3 linked regions of the Drosophila melanogaster genome follow. The protein of the gene in region 2 purifies or fractionates together with the protein of the main gene of each other region. This does not show direct contact. Each region holds a gene or a part of one and is shown on either strand. Other genes may lie near its edges. The genes, in order: CG1092, CG9372 and Hexo2.

The links.
Region 1: the proteins of CG9372 (region 2) and CG1092 purify together in Drosophila melanogaster (affinity purification with mass spectrometry, with the first as the bait; one large-scale study listed by BioGRID). This does not show direct contact.
Region 3: the proteins of CG9372 (region 2) and Hexo2 purify together in Drosophila melanogaster (affinity purification with mass spectrometry, with the first as the bait; one large-scale study listed by BioGRID). This does not show direct contact.

What each region holds. Positions count from the first base shown.
Region 1 is NT_033777.3:4,263,834-4,269,875, reverse strand, and holds CG1092 (uncharacterized protein), read right to left. Parts: upstream 3,107-6,042; 5' UTR 2,903-3,106; coding exon 2,671-2,902; intron 2,616-2,670; coding exon 1,663-2,615; 3' UTR 1,560-1,662; downstream 1-1,559. Other genes in the region: flip (flippy), read left to right, coding at 1-28, 88-311.
Region 2 is NT_037436.4:19,603,486-19,610,297, reverse strand, and holds CG9372 (uncharacterized protein), read right to left. Parts: upstream 4,091-6,812; 5' UTR 3,718-4,090; coding exon 3,630-3,717; intron 3,466-3,629; coding exon 3,317-3,465; intron 3,258-3,316; coding exon 3,121-3,257; intron 3,053-3,120; coding exon 2,473-3,052; intron 2,442-2,472; exon of another isoform or gene 2,296-2,441; coding exon 2,023-2,295; 3' UTR 1,930-2,022; downstream 1-1,929. Other genes in the region: Lon protease, read left to right, coding at 1-46, 110-532, 589-1,317, 1,377-1,566, 1,630-1,872; lush, read left to right, coding at 5,047-5,268, 5,324-5,474, 5,535-5,623.
Region 3 is NC_004354.4:8,706,836-8,714,108, reverse strand, and holds Hexo2 (hexosaminidase 2), read right to left. Parts: upstream 4,458-7,273; 5' UTR 4,301-4,457; coding exon 4,152-4,300; intron 3,535-4,151; coding exon 1,997-3,534; intron 1,927-1,996; coding exon 1,745-1,926; 3' UTR 1,631-1,744; downstream 1-1,630. Other genes in the region: CG2004 (uncharacterized protein), read left to right, coding at 41-510, 704-1,511.

The sequences.
Region 1 (6,042 bases), on a different chromosome or scaffold from region 2:
TGCGGCTGGACCCTTCTTATGCGCGCAGGTAGGACTAGAAGGACTGAAACTGCTTAAATCGAATTTAAATTCGCACCTTGCTTGCAGTGGTTATGAACGCTAGCATGGAGCTCATCAAAGTCCTTGTTACGCACGGCGCAGACTTGGCGGCTTTGGATGGTGTTGGCAAAACTTGCACTGACTTGGCGAAACTTTATCACAGACAGGAGGCAAAGGATTACTTTGACGAGGTGCAAAAGTTTAGGCTGGAGAAATCAGTCGCGACCGCAGACGCAGTGACTGCAATAACGAGGTACACCAAAGAAGTTTGAGGAACAGTGGTGGATTTCAAAGAAGAAAAGGACTCTGGCACGGTTCATGATTAAAGCCCACGTGACTAAGTCATCCAATAACGACATTAATCTTAAGGTGTATTTAGTATTTCGCTTGAAACCCCACAATGGCCTACAGTTTTACCAACAAAGCCTGCAGATCGCTGTAAATTAAATTTTTACTAAAGGTATCAAAAGACTAAGGTCGCTATGAATCGTTGAAAATATCCAAAATGGCCAGAGTTTGGATCAATGAAATTCGTTTAGTGTAAATTGAATAATACCATTTACTCGTAGAGTACAAGTGTACACTAGATTCATTGCAATATAAACTCCGAGATCTCGGATTCATCTTTGTTTTAAGTTTTATATCCATTTTTATAATTTGAATACAAAGTCTAGTGTAAGACAGTTATACCCGTTTCTCGTAGAGTAAAAGGGTATACTAGATTCGTTTAAAAGTATTTTATAGATAGAAGGAAATTTTTTCCGACCATAAAAAGTATATTAATTCTTGATCAGGATCAATAGCCGAGTCGATCTGGCCTGGTCCGTCTGTCTGTCCGTCTGTGTGAACGTCGAGATCTCTGGTACTATAAGGTTGAGATTAAGCATACAGATTCTTAAGACATAGAGGCAGCGCAAGTTTGTTGACCCATATTTTGAAAAATGTTTTGATATGTTTTTATAATTTTATTAGACTTGTAAATTTCTATCGATTTGCCAAAAAAATTTGCCACGCCCACTCTAACGCCCTAAAACCGCCCAAAACTGCCACGCCCACACTATTGCAAAATGTTTACATTTTTTTCATAATTTTATAAGTCTTGTAATATTCTATCGGTTAGCCAAACAATTTTTTTCACGTCCACTCTAACGACCTTAAGCTTCCAAACCGGTCACGCCCACACTTTTAAGCCATTTTTAATTTGTTTTTCATTTTATTCCCCATCTATCGATATCCCAGAAAAATTATGAAATTTCGCGTTCGCATTCGCACTAGCTGAGTAACGGGTATCTGATAGTCGTGCAACTCGACTTAAGCATTCTCTCTTGTTTTACATTTCAGTTTTTGGCCACAAGCCGCCCGTATGCATGACCCACGCTTTCAAAATTTTTTATTATATATTTCTTTTTTTTATTTTTTTCCCAACTTCAATCGATATGGAAGAAATTTCTCGTTTGCTCTTTCACTAGCTGAGTAACGGGTATCTGATATTTGGGTATCTTAACTTCGCTTGTTTTTTAGTGAAAGCCATTTTTTTCAAATGGTTTGTACACCTTTATGAGAATGTTATTGCTTTTATTGTATCTCGTAAACTAAATATATGGTAGAAATGGTCTTGATCTTTTAAACACAAGTCATAGGGTTTTCCGTTTGGAATCCACAAGAGTATATGTCGTAAAAGTCCTTGTTCTGTTTAAGGCCCAGATAGAAGACATGCTCGGCCAGATCCTTCCCAAACTCACAGAAGTTCTGAGCGTAAAGAGTAAAAAATATACGCTTGTTGTCAAGATGGTACTTTTGAAGGACGCCATTTTCCTGATCGTATATCCCACTGTTCTGTGGAGGCGAGTTGATCCAGGCGCTGTAGTCTATCCAGGCCGCTCGGAAGCTCTTTAAGTAGATCACAGCCAGCATTCTGGCCTCATCCAGAACATTAACGAACTGCGGCAGCCTTAAACACTCCACATCTTCGCGAAACCGCGTGAAATCACGCTGACGCTCCAGACTATTAAAAAGCATCATGTACAAATGGACCGTAAACGTGGAGTAGAAGTAGGACATGGGCTTGTTGCGGCTCTGAAAGAGGTACATGCTCCAATCCAGCATGGTGCGCTGAACCCCCAATTCGTATGTTGAATTCAGTTTTCTGTGCTGCTCCAGATTGCGAACGTTGTGTTCGTAGCTCTCCCGGTAGATCCGCAGGTCCTTGTACTCCCGGCTCAGGTCTCTAGCATGGAAGTAGACTCGCGGCGTTTTAAATTTCTGCTTATACGTGGCCAGCTTGCTGAGAATGGGATTCGACTCTCTGTCCTTCTGAAACCTGACGACGAAGCGGTCCAAAATGCCCAGAAAGTCATCCAGCTCGTGGGATTCTCCATTGAGCATGTTTTTTGTAACTATATACCCGAAAAGTGGCTTGAAATACTCATAGGTCTCACGATAGCAGTCTTCCAGCGCGTGGTGCACGTTGCAGGAGATGAAGAAGTCCAGCGTCTTCTGCTTAGCCTCGAATGGCTCTGGATCGTTCTGCAGCTCGGTCAGCAACTGCATAAGATCGCCCATTTGCGGCATGTGTCCTTGGATAGGGTATATGCATTAGGCACTCCCCCAACACAGGCTTTCCTCACTTACCCATGATCGAAAAGAGGGGTCGATTGCGGCTACAGACGTAGTCGAAATAGCTCTCGCAGGCATACTTTTCGGTGTTGATGGAGCCCTGTATACGAACCGACAATTTTTCAAGTTCCCTTATCCGCAGCTCCGACAGGTGCCGCACGTATCCCACTTGGCAATGCCCTGAACCAGTCAACATCAACAGAATAAGCGCTACGGATGCGCCGATTGCAAGACTTGAGGTTGTCATCGCAGAGCTCAAGTCACTGGCAACCCAGCTTTTGCGCCAGCCTATCGGACCCCTCAACGGATGTCGGATTTCGTTGCACAGTAGTTCGAGAGAGAGTCACTTTTCAAATACGTCTATCACTGGGCAACGAAACTATTTAACTTCAATTGAAATGTAAGCACAAAACTCCGTATCCCCTGGTATTAAATAACTAAAATAACTTATTGAATGTTTCAATTTTTAGTAAAAACTTTTTTATTACTTTTGACAATATTTAAAAAGATTTTCTGTCCAAGTGGACAATAATTAAATGATTGTGGGCTGACATTGACATAATTTATTTTTATCATAATGAACGTTTGAAAAGCATAGATAGTATTGAAAAATGCCCTATTAGTGCAACTCAGTATATGTTTTTATGGTGTGTTTTCAACATTTTCAACTTATGCTTCTTCAACGTGTTTAACCAAAAATTTATCCGGACTTTAGAAGAACGTTTTGTTGCAGACAGTTACAAACAGTTCTCCAAAATCACAATAATCAATCTTTACCGTTTTACCTTTTTTATTTTATCGCGCACATATAAACGGTCTAAAAACCAATTAAACGCTCACATTCCTATTTTATCATTTTTACTTGAAAATGCAAAAACACCCGAAAGTTCTCGGGTTGTTTGTTGTTTTTATATTGTTGAATTATTAGAACGGATTTATATATGATCTTATTACACTCGCACCACAGTGCATTGCTCAATTCGAGGTCTTATTTTAATTCAGTGAGTGAGTTCCTATGCTTAATTATATTTCCGAAGCGATAAGAATGTCAAGTCCTATCAGGAAAATTTCTCTCCCACTGTTTTTACGATCGCGCTATTCTGGAATATGGGCTTTGCATCGTTTCACAAGTATTACGAGTTATATCTGACTAAGCGTAGACAACAGTGTGCAGTTGCTTATGAAAGGAATGATTTAAATATACATATACATACATAATATACATATATTATATTATATTTGTTGGTTTATAAAAAAAAAGTATTTTTATTGATCAAAAACTTAAGCGAATGTCGGAGACAAATTCACGTCTTACACAATTGAAGTATGAATAAAATCTAAATCTAATTTGCAAAGCGAACGCTTAGCAAACCCTTGGCTGAGCTTATTTACTTCTTCATATTGAGCGTACATAGGCTCTCATTTATGTTTACGTTAATTAGGCGCTCTCTTGAGTGGATTGCGCATGGATATAGATCAGCCGAGTTTGAGCTACGTGGAAAGTTTTGACCCTTAAAGCTGTGTTAGCAGTTTTGACCCTCTGGTGGGAGTCGCGAATGCGGCTGCGGATGTTTATGTCTGTTGGATTGGGTGCCTTCTTGAGTGGATCACTCATGGGTACTGATCAGCCGAGAACTTGAGCTGCGTAAGCGGTTTTGACCCTTTGGTGGGAATAACTGATTCGGCAGCGGATGTTAATGTTTACATTAGGGTAGGCTGGATTTGTTATTGTCACCAGAATTTGGGTTCTTATTGGATACATGATTTTATGACTTATATCCTAAGGCATTCTATGATTTTGTGTATGGCTGTTCCTATGTGGTTATGTATGTGTGTGTGTAAGTATATGTGGTCTTATACTATGGCACATATGCTACTTCCCCATCCTTTAAATTTAGCCTGTCCTCAGGCGGATATTCTAGGATACAATACAGGATTAGTATCAAATACTGTATTTATATTTTCTGTTGTTGTGTTATTTTGTTGTTCTATTTGTTGTGGATTCTCTTTTTTATATTTAACAATTAGTTTTTTGGGAATGCCTTTATATTTATAAATAAAATATAGTATAAGTGTAAGTATTATAATAGCAAGTATAGTTAATGTAATAATTTGTAATGTGTTGTATGTATTAGTGTGTTCTTTAATTATTTCTTTAGCATTTAGATATGATAATGGTTCTAATTTTGTTACATTGTTATTGATATAGACCGTTTGTGTGTAGTCTAGTGTTGTGCTTGTAATTAATATGTTTTCTATTTGAACAGAACAATTAAAAGCTTTTATTATATTGTCTCCTTCTATTATAATTTCTCTATTAATTATACAGTTTTGATTTAATACAATTTTTGATAATTTCCAAGTTAAAATTATGTTTGGTTCTACATAAGTTATTCCAATATTGTTATGTGTTTTTGAATATCTGCATTCTGTTGGTATTTGATTTAATATTCCTGTAATACATTTGTTTATTATTGGTTTTCTTGAGTTTTGTTTGTAAACTTGATTATCTTGAATATAATATTTATCATTTACATTTTCTATAAGTATATTATTATCTTTGTCTGGATATGGTACGATGTTAAAAAGTGCAGTTTTTATAATGTCTCTAGGAATATGGGAAATAATAAGTATTTCATTTGCATCTGATTTTAACCACGTAGAAGTTTTTATATTTAGCAATTTTTCGGAATTTACATGTGATAATGGATCATGTCTTAATAATTTGGGATTAAAAATACCAAGTCTTGTTAATTGCATACCAAGTTCTATATCTTCAATGTATTCGGTAAACTGTTGTAAGTTAAATACTAAAAGTTCTAGTCTTCTGTCACCTTCACTTATTGCGCTTAAATGGTTGATTACTTCAATGCCTCTATTGACTACTTCTATAACTTCATTCAATTCATTAATTTGAATACTATGTTGAGAAAGATCGTATATTTTTTGTTCTAATTCTTCTTTGTCATTTTGATCTAAAGTGCCAAAAAGGTATTTATATGCGGTACCTATAATATTAATTAAACCACGTTTATTGCGTTTTATTATTCTTATTCCATTCATTTCTCTGTCTAATTTTTCAGTTAAATATTGGATTTGGGCTATAGTACCATATTCTTCAGCTTGTTTAATTAAATTTGCAAAAGTTTGTTCGGTCTTTGTTAAGTTTACGGACAAATAGTGATATTCATAGTTTATAGGTATATTAATTGATCCTGTTTTAAATATAAGATATCCATTTTTAGCTTGTATCGGGTTCACCTCTAGGCTTTGACCACGGACGGCACGGATGAAACATATTATAAGTGTTATTATGAATAACTGTTTAATCGGACCCCACTTGATTTTCGGGAGTTGAGCTGGAATTGTATTTACTTTTATTAATTC
Region 2 (6,812 bases):
AACTCACCAAGCTGAACTTCCTGGAGAGTCATAGTTCCGAGTTTAAGTGAGTTCTACAAAATATTTTGGAATTTAGCTTAACTAATATGCTCATACTACTTTTTTTTAGTGTAACTCGCAATTACCTCGACTGGCTTACTTCCCTACCTTGGGGCGTTATCAGCACCGAAAATCTCTGCCTGGAGAAGGCCACTGAAACACTAAACGACGATCACTACGGAATGGAGGATATCAAGAAGCGTATTTTAGAATTTATTGCCGTCAGTTCCCTCAAGGGCTCTACGCAGGGCAAGATCTTGTGCTTTCATGGACCCCCTGGTGTGGGCAAGACAAGCATAGCAAAGTCCATTGCACGCGCTTTGAATCGCGAGTACTTCCGCTTTAGTGTGGGCGGCATGACAGACGTTGCTGAGATCAAGGGACATCGCCGCACCTATGTGGGCGCAATGCCGGGTAAACTGATTCAGTGCCTGAAGAAGACTAAGATTGAAAATCCTCTGGTACTCATCGACGAGGTGGACAAGATCGGCAAGTGAGTAAAAGGCTTTCATTAAGATATACTGTAATATAATAAATAACCTATTTTAGGGGCTACCAGGGAGATCCTAGCTCAGCATTGTTAGAGCTACTAGATCCCGAGCAGAATGCGAATTTCCTGGACCACTACCTCGATGTGCCGGTAGACCTCTCGCGAGTGCTCTTCATCTGCACAGCTAATGTGATCGACACTATTCCCGAGCCTTTAAGAGATCGCATGGAATTGATTGAGATGTCTGGGTATGTTGCCGAAGAGAAGATCGCCATCGCTCGTCAGTATCTGATGCCACAAGCGATGAAGGACTGTGGATTAACGGACAAGCATATCAACATTTCCGAGGATGCCCTAAACATGCTGATTCGCAGTTATTGCCGGGAATCCGGGGTGCGAAACCTGCAAAAGCATATCGAGAAAGTTATTCGCAAGGTGGCCTTCCGAGTGGTCAAAAAAGAAGGCGAGCACTTTCCGGTTAACGCTGATAATCTGACCACATTCCTGGGCAAACAAATCTTTAGCTCAGATCGCATGTACGCAACCACACCGGTGGGTGTAGTCATGGGTCTGGCCTGGACCGCCATGGGTGGTTCATCGCTTTACATCGAAACCTCAAGGCGTCACATTCGCCAGGGGGCAAAAACAGATCCGAACACTGTCGCCGGATCGCTGCACATCACCGGAAATTTGGGAGATGTCATGAAGGAGTCGGCCCAAATAGCCTTAACGGTGGCGCGCAACTTTTTATATTCGCTGGAACCCAATAATCTGTTCTTAGAGCAAGAGTAAGTTTTTTAATTTGCGTTTTCTTATTTTCGTTAATCTATATATGTGGCCCTTACAGGCACATTCACCTCCATGTTCCTGAAGGTGCCACACCGAAAGATGGCCCCAGTGCGGGCATCACCATTATTACAGCTCTCGTATCGTTGGCCACTGGAAAGCCGGTGCGCCAAGATATCGCTATGACGGGCGAAGTATCCCTGAAGGGAAAAGTGCTACCCGTGGGTGGTATTAAGGAAAAGACGATTGCAGTAAGTAAAACAGAAATAAATGATCTATTTGTGTGTAAATATAAATAAATCACCCTCATTCAGGCACGTCGTAGTGGAGTGAATTGTCTTATTCTGCCTGTGGATAACAAGAAAGACTTCGAGGAGTTGCCCACGTACATTACAGATGGTCTGGAGGTTCACTTTGCCACCACCTACGAGGATGTCTACAAGATAGCGTTTACTGATGTAACCGAAACGACAACCAACAATGTTGAAGAGCAGGAGCCGCTGCAGAAGCTTTCCAGTGCGGCCGCTGCCAAATCGGAGACGTGGCCTTATTCTTAGATTTAGCTTGGGGGTGTTGCGGGTGTTGATAGGTTTTATAAATATCTATCGTTATCAGGTTAATTAGTTTATTTAGACCATAGCATTTGTTAATTCTAATGCCAAGTAAATTGAATGTACCATCGAACTGAAGACAGTACTGCGTATATCCTAGACATCTGCATTAGCCAAAATCCAGTCCAGGTAGCGATCCACGCGAGTGTAGATACCCGGGCGACCCCGCTGTCCGCAGCCGACGCCCCAGGACACGATGCCGATCGTGACCCAGCGTTGGTTGGGAAGTTGTACCAACAGAGGACCTCCGCTATCGCCTTGACAGGAGTCCTGACCTCCTTCCGGAAATCCAGCGCACATGGCAGTGTCCGGAACGTGCTGTACAAATGACGACCTGCAATCGGACTGCTTCCAAACCGGCAGGTTAACCTGAAGATAGGAGTAATACATATTTTCTTAATTTAAAAAAGCTTTCTTTGTTATGTTCAGCTTGAGTTACTAAATTGCTGAAACCAATTTGTTTAGATCAATATAAGAAATTGAAAGCTTAAGAACAAAATAAAAACGCTGTATATAAAATGAAATATACTTTAATATGCGACCCACCTCCATGAGGATGTTAGAATGAGGACCGCCAAACTTTTGGGTGCCCCAACCGGTGACAATGGCGTTTCTATCCGACCAATCTTCGTTCACGGGCGGCATGCAAACTGGCCAGATGTAGGTGTTGAATATAGTCGCCCTGTCGATTCTGACAATTGCAATATCATTGTCGTAGTTCTGTGGATTATAATCGATATGGAGCACCATGTTGGCAATCCGGAAATCCCTCGCCCTCGTCTCATTCAGCATATGCGTGTTGTACTCGCCCAGACGCACGAAGATGTCCTCCTTGTTCTTCTTGTAGATGCAGTGAGCGGCAGTTAGGACATGACGGTCGGTGATCAGGACACCACCGCACCAAACGAAGGGCAGACCCTCCTGCAGCAGGGCCGCCATCCAAGGCCACTCGTCTGGCTCGGCTGGCCGTCCACCGGTGAGGCGGGGAAACTGCCTGGACGTGATCCCACAACCTCGCTGCTCCGGCTTATTAACGATGCGCGGCTCATCACCGTCCGCACTGGTCACGACTTGCGGACTAAATCGGTTGCTCGTCGACTGGTCAGTGCAGCAAATGCCTATGGAGCTGAAAGACAAATTATTTGTACATATAATACAAGGATGCCAAGCCATTAAGAAGAAAAATTCATATACCTTTTCTCAATGATGCAAAGCTGGGAGACCAGACGCCAGACATCATTCTTAAGTTCTGGCATGCGACAGTAGATAATGTGGCGACATCGGCCGGATTCACCCAATGGAGTGCTACATGCTCCATAATCCTTGTTCTCCTGCGGTTATCATTTGTAGTTACCTGATACTGGTATGTATGCATAAGACATAAACTCACCAGCAATTGCGAGGTGGGAGCCTGTCGCTTGTTTAGGCGATGTTGGGACAGGAAACTTACGACGCGGTTTTCCCCAGTGCGATTTTCGTATACCTGATTCTCCGACTCCCCCCATTGAAACTCATCATTATCGCTGAAGTCGAGAAGATCTGGGTGGTAGACGAAAATCTTTAGGTTTGGTTTACATTAGATTCTTGGAATTTGTCTTAGAAATATCAAGTATTTGGGTGAAATGAGTTTTAACTTTGATAAATAACTTTGCTATTAAATGCACCTGCACAATTTTTTATGTTGGTATAAAAACGTGACTCACCTAAAAAATCAGTGGATACAGTCTTGGCGATTGTACTCTGCGGGATATAGCCCAGTAAAATCACCAATGCCCAAAGAAATGCCTTCATTTTGAGTTATTTTCGCGAGTGCAGTGGGAATTTTAATCGCGTGTCGCTTCCGTTGCCCGCTGAATCAGTTCTGTTTTGACAGTTCTCCAACCAGCTAAAGCTACTTCTCCGATATGGAGCTGAGCTCAGATCGGCTCAATTTACATACGTCTTGCCTTGGATACTGCTGTTGAACCTGTTCGATGCGTCGACACTATGGGGTTTTCCTGGCTATTAAAGCGTCTTACTCCATGCTCAGTTCCCAGGCGAAAGCTTAATGGGATTGGAACCGCTAGCGATATAGTAACTATTATATAATACTTGAGTTAATCCGAGCACTTGGCTTATCTGTAGGGCGGAAAGCGAGCCACTGAAATGACGTCCCCTTTAATGCCTCTGAGCTTAGACCCAATTTGGTGTATTATCTCAATGTTGCTGGCAACAGCTTGGCAACATGTTGCCAGGGGCGAGTAGTGCCCATGATGATCAGTTTGGATTCTCCGAGGCGAACGTGATGTGCATCGCAAATGATCCGGTTCGGTGGGTTTTGATTCCATAGAAGTATCATCTCCGAAATACTAAGGAAGATTTTATACTCAGTTATATTCTCTATTTAATTGCCTTTTGACGCTTGCACATCAAAGTAGTAATAATAAATCAATTGCACGGCACAACCGGAATCGAAGAAAACATTTGCGATGCACGGTTTGATTGTCACTGCAGAAATGATTTTAATGTCTTAATTTAAAACCCAACCCTTTAACATTTTAACATAATTTAAGTAATAGTATTGAATGATGGAGGCGAAGAAAATGGAATGGGGCGACTTCAGTTGGCAGATTATGTTATTATGTAATAAGACGAATACCGAATAAGTGTACTAAAAAATAAGTTTAAAATAGAAAGCGTCAAACAAATAATTAGTCAAAATATCCTTAAAAAATATTTAAAATATATTATTTTAATATTATTGCGAAGACCATATTTTTATTATTTAACAATTTTTATAGGTAGAGCACTGGATTTGAATTTCTGGGAATATTATATGATCACATATACATATGAATATACATATATGCGGTGCTATAAACTCATCGCTTACCCACTTTATCCTGAAAATTGGTTTAAAAATTATTATTTATTATTTTTTAACAGGTATCTCTAAAATTCGACTATTGTCGTGTCATTCAAATGGTACAAATACAACTTCCTAGTCAACTCAAATGGCGTGCGAGTGTGTTACTTAATTATTAATCCCTGCGATTTAATTACCACCTTTCCCTGCCACCATGATCACCTATAAAACTCTCCTACGACATGGTTACTCAACGTATTTAGCTTTCCGCCACCATGAAGCATTGGAAACGACGCTCTTCCGCTGTTTTCGCGATCGTCCTGCAAGTGCTGGTACTCCTGCTACCCGATCCTGCAGTTGCCATGACGATGGAGCAGTTCTTGACCTCGCTAGACATGATCCGCAGTGGCTGTGCGCCGAAGTTTAAGCTCAAAACAGAAGATCTCGATCGGCTTCGCGTGGGTGATTTCAACTTTCCGCCATCGCAGGATCTTATGGTGAATGCCGCTTTCATTTTGCAGGCACCAGTGTTTGAATCCTTTATCCTTTTAGTGCTACACAAAGTGTGTGTCTTTGATGGCGGGCACTGTGAACAAAAAGGGGGAGTTCAACGCTCCCAAGGCGCTGGCCCAACTTCCGCATCTGGTTCCCCCGGAAATGATGGAGATGTCCAGGAAATCCGTTGAAGCTTGTCGGGATACGCGTAACTACACCCACACTTACCTTTCATAGCTGTAAATATATGTAAGGTATATCTTTGCAGATAAACAATTTAAGGAATCTTGCGAGAGGGTCTACCAGACGGCCAAGTGCTTCTCTGAAAACGCCGATGGGCAGTTCATGTGGCCTTAAAAATGTTTCTGGAAACTAAATTCATACTGGTTCATCCTTTAATGACCAATCCTTGGATGATTGCTTTATTATCTATGTTGAAATCATCAAATAGAATTGGAATTCGTAAAACATAAATTATGACAAGAAAGGAAGTTAGCTTCAAAAAGCCGAAGTATATACTTATATACCCTTGCAGTAATATGATGTTGATTAAATTGAAACCAAAATTTATATATTAAAGACAACTTATGTATACAGAATAACATCAATTTATGATTAAAAACGACGAAACTGTAGTTTGTGTTATATTATTTCATTCGAAACTCTATTTTCCGACTATTCGTATGCCTATATGACAAAGTCGTCCAATTCTGATTGAATCAAAACTGAAATTATATATTGTCAAAGTAACAAAGAACATTTTGTTTAAATTAATTTTTCGATTATGTATATACCCGCAATCGACTGAATTCGATAAGCAAATCTTTTTTTTTGAAAACAATCTTTAATCATATATTTGAAAACCTTTTTGTAGATTAAAATGGCACCCCAAAATATAAACACGCCGCATTGATTTCAAACATGTTATAGTTTATTGCTGATATTATTAACTAAATACAACGGTTTTATGTTTGCATAACGCATACTTATACATTTTGTAATCGATAAACATCCAATTGGCTTAGCAATGCATTCAAACTTAGGGAGATCTTTGCATTCAAGAGGTTACAAAATAAATGCAAATCTTATACAAAATGGTTGCCTTGCAAATCTGCGTACAAAGTTCTCTGTAATCGAGAGTAATCGATATCTTAAATTTCGGTTTCGGTATAGGAGTAGTGTCTTTATATATGTATGTAGATCTCTCCAAAAAGGGTCTCACAAAAATATATCCGATTAGAGCGTGTGTGCGGATTAGTTGATGAATTTGATGAGGATGTTCGAGGAAACCTGTGTAAACAACTAAGAGTCTAATGACATTCACACGTATATATAGTAGTTAGTACATTGTATATAAAATCAGTACACATTAATGCTTGTATATTGAACCGTTTGTTGTTAGCTGCTTTGGTTTGGTTTGGAAATACTTTTAACTGCTACACACACACATCTAAATAGGTTGGTGGTTCCGTAGACAACTATAGTCATACACATACACATATAGTTAGGTATATAATTTGATATATCGTAGTTATAATTAGGTGGA
Region 3 (7,273 bases), on a different chromosome or scaffold from region 2:
GATCTCCGGCAGCGACAGACACACTTTGGACACCACCACGATGAGCACCTTTCCCAGCTTCGCGGACATTTCGGCCAAATTCTCGGAGGCGACGCTGGACGAGATCATCCGAAACGCGGGCGGCACCCGGCACACCTCGTACAAATTTGGCCCAAGTGGCAAGAAGGGCGACGCCTATCTGAGCCGTGTCTTCCGCATCACCATCTACGGCGTCAAGGAGGCGGAAGAGGGCCAGGATGAGAAGCAACTAGAGATCAGTGTGATCGTGAAGGCCATGCCCGACAATCTGCACCGTCGGCGACTCTTCCGTTCGGTGATATTCTTCCGCAACGAGATCAACTTCTACACCAAGGTGTTGCCGGCCATCGAGGCATTCCAGAAGTCCCGCCAGCCCGCGCCTAAGAAGCCCTTCGTGGAGTACCCCCGCTGCCTGGCCAGCCTGTGCGATGGCGTCAACGATTTCATCGCCCTGGAGGATGTGGGTCCCAGGGGCTACAGGGCACCTGTACGGTTAGTTTATTCCTCCTCCTCCTCCTCCACCCCTTTCGTATGAAATCAGCTTTCTATAAATAAGTGTAACTACACTATCTGTCGACTTCCCATACAATAGATTATTTCAATATCTACCATTAATACCATTAACCCTTATTGATTATAAATTATACAACTACATTTACTTCAATTACCTTACCTTACCTTGCAGTCAAGACTACATTTCGCTGGAAGATGCCCTGCTGACGATGCGGACCCTGGGTCGTTTCCATGGCGTGGCCCTGGCCTTCAATGCCCTGGATAGCAAGAACTTCGAGAAGGCTGCTGGTTCGCTGGAGGAGACCTACTATGGCGAACACACCCGCGAGTGGTACACGGGCTTCCTCCTGCTGGCGGAGAATGTGGCCACGGACGCCGTCAAGCAGATCTATCCGAATAGCAAATACGAGACTGTGGCCACAAACTTCCTGCAGCCGCCGCTGTTCGATGATCTGATCAATCTGGTGTCCACTCGCTCCAAGTTGAGTGTCTTCGGGCACGGCGATTGCTGGACGCCCAACTTTCTGACCAAGTACAACGAACGGGGACAATCGGAGGAGATCATCATCATTGATTTCCAGTTGGCCAGGTGCTCCTCCTTGGCCCTCGACCTGAGCTTCTTCATCTATTCCTGCACTAGCCAGGAGCTGAGGGAACAGCACTACGATGAGCTGCTCCGCGCCTACCTGGAGAGCGCCCAGGATTTGATTCAGGATCTCGGTGGCAATGCAGAGTCTATCATCTCCTGGGAATCACTGCAAGAGGAGCTAAAGAACTTTGGTCGCTTTGGTTGCGGCATGGGCATCGAATCGCTGCCGATGACGATGATGGAGGACGATGAGGTGGCCGATCTGGATGGAATCAAGGAGAACGCCATTCTCACCGACATCTGGAATATCACACCCTTCAAGGAGTCCGCCAAGCAGCAGCGACTGGCTGATATCTTCAAGCACGCCATCGATCAGGGCTACATTAAGTGAGCTCATTAATTTCTATGATAAAATCGAATTCATATAGTATTGGGTATTTCGTAATTGTAACCCATATAATGTACAAAACGTAACTCCAGATAATTAAAAGCATATTATAAACACATTTTGGATTGGATTAAAAACAGATCTTTATGGGCAATAACTGATGAATAAAATAACATAGTTTGAAAGGTATGTACATGGTATGTGCTGGTGCTAAAACTAGGTTCGGAACGACCGATTTAGAGGCACTGTCCTTCGTGGAGGACGCACCAGTGCGGAATAACTGCATCCGCATGGATTCCGCGCGCCAGGAGTCGCTCCCGGTAGCGGTAGAATCTTCTTTGGGCCAACAGGGCTGAAGACTTTGGATTTGACCACATTCGCTCGGCTGCTGCTCCAGCTCGCGGCCAGATTCGGGATTCTGTAGGGGATTGGATTGGGTTTAATTAAATGGGTTTGGTTCACCGTTTGGTTCCCTAGCGTTTACATACCCAGTGAGTTCTGATCCACATACTCGCTCCACATGCACACCTCACCGCCGAGAACCTGATCCTTGCTGCGACCAACGGGCATGCCACTGGAGTACACGGTGCGCCAGTTGTAGTACGATGTGCTGCCCCAGAAGCCGTGATCCAGGTACCAGGCATTCTTCGTGGACACAATCAGTCGGTAGCCTCGCTGCAATAGCTCCCGATTGAGGGCATCCTGTGACTCCACCCATGTCTGGATTATGAACCGCTCCTTGGGCAGGTAGGTCTCGATGTACCGGGGATTGGTGAGGTGACTGGACCAGATGATCACCGACTTCGGCTCCTTGATGCCCGGATACATACGCTCGTTAATCTCGTCCCATGCATTGAGGTTCCGCTGATGGAATTGCGACCACAGCCGCAGGAAGCTCTGCTCGCTGAGATCGTAGCCACGTGCCCGCATCCCATCCCGAATCTCGTCGGTGTTATTCCAGCAGGGAAGGAACACCTCGTCGCCGCCCATGTGCAGGGTCTCCTCGGGAGCGCCCACCTCGGCTACGTCCTCGAAGATCTCCTTGAGCACTGCGTACATATGATCGTTCAGGGGATTCAGTTGGCCGCACGGTGGCTGTACACAGAATCTCCTCCAGGGCGATTGATTCAGGCACACGGACATGTTGCCCAGTCCGGCGGCAGGACCCCATTGCCAGCCATTGCCCGCATGCGAGGGTCCATCGATCTCGATCAGTATCCGTATGCCCCGCAGTCGGGCATATTTCACAAGATTCAGTGCATCCTGGCGCGAGTACGTCTGCGATGAGGAGTACGCTCCGTAACGCTGCATCTCCGGCACCCTGGTGATCTCCAGCGGAAAACTGTGCGTGTCCACCACATGCCAGTGGAGCACATTCAGCTTACTGGCCGCCATCGCATCCAAGGTGCTGCGTATAAACTTGAGCGGCACAAAGTTACGGGCCGTATCCAGAAGGACGCCGCGATGCGAAAAGGCCGGACGATCGGTGATGTTGGCCGTGGTGACCATCAGCAGGCCATTGGACAGGCTGCCGGTGACCAGGTTGCTCAGCGTCTCGAAGGCATGACGTGCACCGTACACCGTCGTCGCTTGGATGTCCACAAAGGTGGCCGTTTCAGTGGTTCGCACCACCAGGGCGTAGCTCTCGTCGGTGGGCCAGTCCAGAACGAGGCTCTCGTTGGCCACCGTGGATCTGACCAGAATCTGCTTGCTGGTCTCCAGCGTGCAGTTTCGTATGCACTCCTTCAGCAGATTCGAGACGAACAGCCGGTTCGTCTCCCTGAGAAACTGGGTGGCCGCCTCGCCGGGCGCCACAACATGGAAACGCACCTTCCACGGATCGAATCGTACCCGCCTGTGCGATATGGTGCACTCCTTGCCGGTGGGCATGGGCCAGATGGCTCCGTACTTGCCGCACGACAGTCGGCAATCCCGCTGGCTCTCGAAGATCTCCGGCGCGTACTGCAGTCCGGCCACCATCTCGCCCTCCGCGGTGCAGATATCCGTCCGGCTGCACAGCCATTTCCTGGAAATTCGGAAGATATTGCTATAATAAAGCTAAGTACATATATATTTAGATACATAAAGCAGATTTCACTTTATTTATTGCAAATTCTTTTCAATAATATATGCAGCTGCATAGAAAGTAGTTCTTATTCTGTCGCTTTGCCTTTTGCACTTGTTCCCTTTACGAAAATTGCACTTGGAGCGAATGCAAATTAACATGTAAATGCATTTGGCACAGTTAAATTTTCACCTGTTTTCTTCTGTTTGTTTTATTTTCTAGTTTTTAAGACTGATTTCACTTGTTGCTCTCAGTTATTTGAGGAGATATTGGATATCCTGCTGAGCATAGACACCAACCATTTGTTATCCGTTGGCAGTTTTTTAAAGTTCTCTTTTGTAGAATGAATAGATTTCCTTTAATATATTTAAAAGTAGTGGACTTTTTGGACTTTTTTTCACTAGTCTGCTGAGCGCATATAACACTTGAAATTTCATTGAAAATAAAGAACAGTCAGTTTTTTGTATTTTCACTGCATTTTGTTAGCAAAAATTGTTATACTTCCAAAACAAAACATGTATTTAAAAAAAAACTTGCACTTGTTGCACTGATTTCCTTTATGAAGCAAAGACACAAACCTGCTGGCGCTGCCGGCGTCGGCGTCGCTGCCGACGTCATCTGCCCGCGTCAGCGCAGCGCCGACCGCGAAGGATAATAGGGATAATAGCAGCAGCGATCCAACAGCAGAGCAAAAGCACTGATAACGATTGTAGCCGCTGAACCGCATCGTTTCTTTCTAACGGCTTCTTTGGCTGCGCCGCTCGCTTTTATAATTTCTGTTCGGTATTTGCTATATTTGTTGTGTTAGGGGGGTGTGTACGGTGTATTCGCTATTTTCAACCGGCCGCCCACCCGCTCCGCTCGCCGAGCACAACAACACTGAAGAGCTGAAATCGAAAAAGCGAATAAAATAAATCCAGCGAAATTTCACTTGCAGCGCAGTAGCGGCCGCAACAACAGCAATAACAAGTCGAGCTTATCGTCAATTGAATTGAAGAGAGTGCAAGAGCGCGAGAGAGCGCGGATTGAAATTACACTGCGAGAAACGCCAAGTCCTTGCATTACACTGCTACTCCACATTAATGCTTGGCAATTAGATTTTACAGCTTTATTAAATGAGCTTCCCTATACTAACAGGACACTTGATGCATGAAGTGCCACGTCTTTTCTGCCTGTGTAGTGCTGTGAAATCAGCATATCTCCCACTCTTTGAAGCAAACCCCACCCCCTGGAGAGTGGCCCACATACGGAAGTTGTGGGGTGAGTGATAAAATGGAAAATATATACATACATATGTATGCATGTATGTATGTATATGCGGTGCAAGAACCGCAGCAACAACAATAATCGTGGGCTTGAAAACTGCCAGCGTGCAAAACACCAAAAAGAATTTAACTAAATCAACCTAATTCTTCACAAATTTCGGCACAAATGCAGTTAAGAAAGCCAGCATATTAATTAAACATAAGTACATACACACATGTGTAGTATGTAGATACATGTAGTATATGCCAATTGAACTTGCAACATTTAAGATTCCAATAATACATCTCGAAAATATTATTCAAATGAGTTTCCACCCTCGAGGTAAACAAAGCAGCAGTTAATTATAAACAAGATAGAACGGTGTATCAATTTTCAGTTAACACAAATAATCAAAAAATTATTGTTTATAGTAGATAGATAAACAACTCAGCAATGGGGAATGGAACCACCGTCTTATCCCTCCAAAGATACACAACTATATTTGTGCTTTTTTAGTATTTATCATTTGTTTCTGCGTCGATTTTTCGTTGAGTTTTCGCATTTGATTCGTCTTGTATTATCATGTTGTTGCACGTACAGTTGAGGCCGTGACTGTAAGGCAAAATAAAAGATGTATTCCCTTAGTTGAAATGGGTAATGTTGGGTAATAAATTTGAATGCATTCATATAAAAACTCTGCATGCACATTACTTTAAATCCATTTAATTGGCTTAATAAGTTAATTAAATCAGTGACAAATTGATTTGTGTACCACTCAGCCAAACTGATTTCATAGCAATATGAGTAAGAACATTTATTTTACTTCAAATTAACAACGAAGTGAACATATTGCTAAAGCAACTAACTAACTAATCACTTTCTTAATAAATTTATTTACAAAACATCTACTTGTTTTAATCTGGAACATAATTTTAGTCGCGAAACGCGCTGTTGTTCCACCCTCATTATGATTTCGATAAAAGCTTTGAAGTTGAAAACAAATGAAAAAAAAAAAAAATGGTGAAATAAAAAACATTATTTGTGTGTGCGACTGGGCATTGTTGATTATTATTTTATTGTATTCGGCATTCGCACATCTAGTTCTTGTATGCGCCCATGCATCTCTCTCTCTCTCTCTCTCTCTTTTATTAATAATATGTATTATTATGTGGTCGCTGGCTTGGATTCCAATTCCAATTCCATTTCCATTTTAATTCCATGGGCGCCTTTTGTGCGCCTTCGAAATGAATTTTGAATTATGCGATAGCGCCGCCTTCGCTCTTTATTCTTTTGCCCATTGTTGTTGCCCGTGAGCATGTGTGCGTTTCTGTGTTTAGAATGTAAAATTATAATAATTAAAAAGAGTACGTGCGAGTGCTGTAATCGGGCGGTTGAGATGATGGATGCGGGGATGTTGGCTGAAGCGATAGTTGCACATTACGATTCCCCTCACTCACCATTCAACACGATCTCGAAACTCACCACGACTTTTCTCGAAATAATCCGTGCACTATCTTTTTCGTGCTTCATTGAAGCCACAAAACTATTGAATACGCACATACATATTTCAAAACTAACAAGGTTTTGAATACTCACCACTTTTAAAGGTAGCTGGTAAGTTAGCTTTCCAACATATTTATATAACAATAACAATAGTAAACGCATTTTGATTATATTTAAGTGAACAAGATATATACCTCATATGTGCACTTCTCACGCGCTCATCCCCAGGATTTCACACATGTGGGCGGACCAAATGAGTTTTGCCCAACTCGGACATCAGGTCCTGAATGGAAATCAGCAGGCGGAGGATGAGGAGGAGTTGGGGCAGGCTGCGGGGATTGGATGTAGACATGGTTATGGATATGGGAAGGCGGTAGACTCTATGATGATGAGGAGCTGCAGCTGTTCCTGTCGCTCCAGGACAATGCAGATGCACAGATGCGTCTGCACTGGGAAAAATAAGGTCAAAAGAATTACTGAAGCTTTCTAAACCGAATGGCTAGCTATCCGATTAATAACAATATTATAAATTTTAAGTCTTAACTTAAGTTAAGTGCTCAAGGTGAAATGAAAAGTAAACATATTGGGCTTTTATTTCGAGTGCATTCAAATGGATGGGGGGGGGGAGGGGGTTGGGGGTTCATCGCCACTGATTATGATGTTGATTACATTGCGGCCTCTTCCTCCCCTCACCTGGGCCACGCCCCTTTTGCACAGAGAGAAAATATTGTTAGTTCATTTCATGGATATAAATTATTTGCATTTAACTTTATAATAGCAACTCAACAAAACCAAACAAGAACCTGATGATTTTAGAAATATGATGATTATGATTATGATCTTAAAAAAATGATATGAACTTTGTTTTCTCTGCACGACTTTGGACAGGATGCAAGTGCCGAGTCCGTCAGCCGCTAGGTTCTTCATTCCGTTTGCGTCAGTCAGCGCTGAC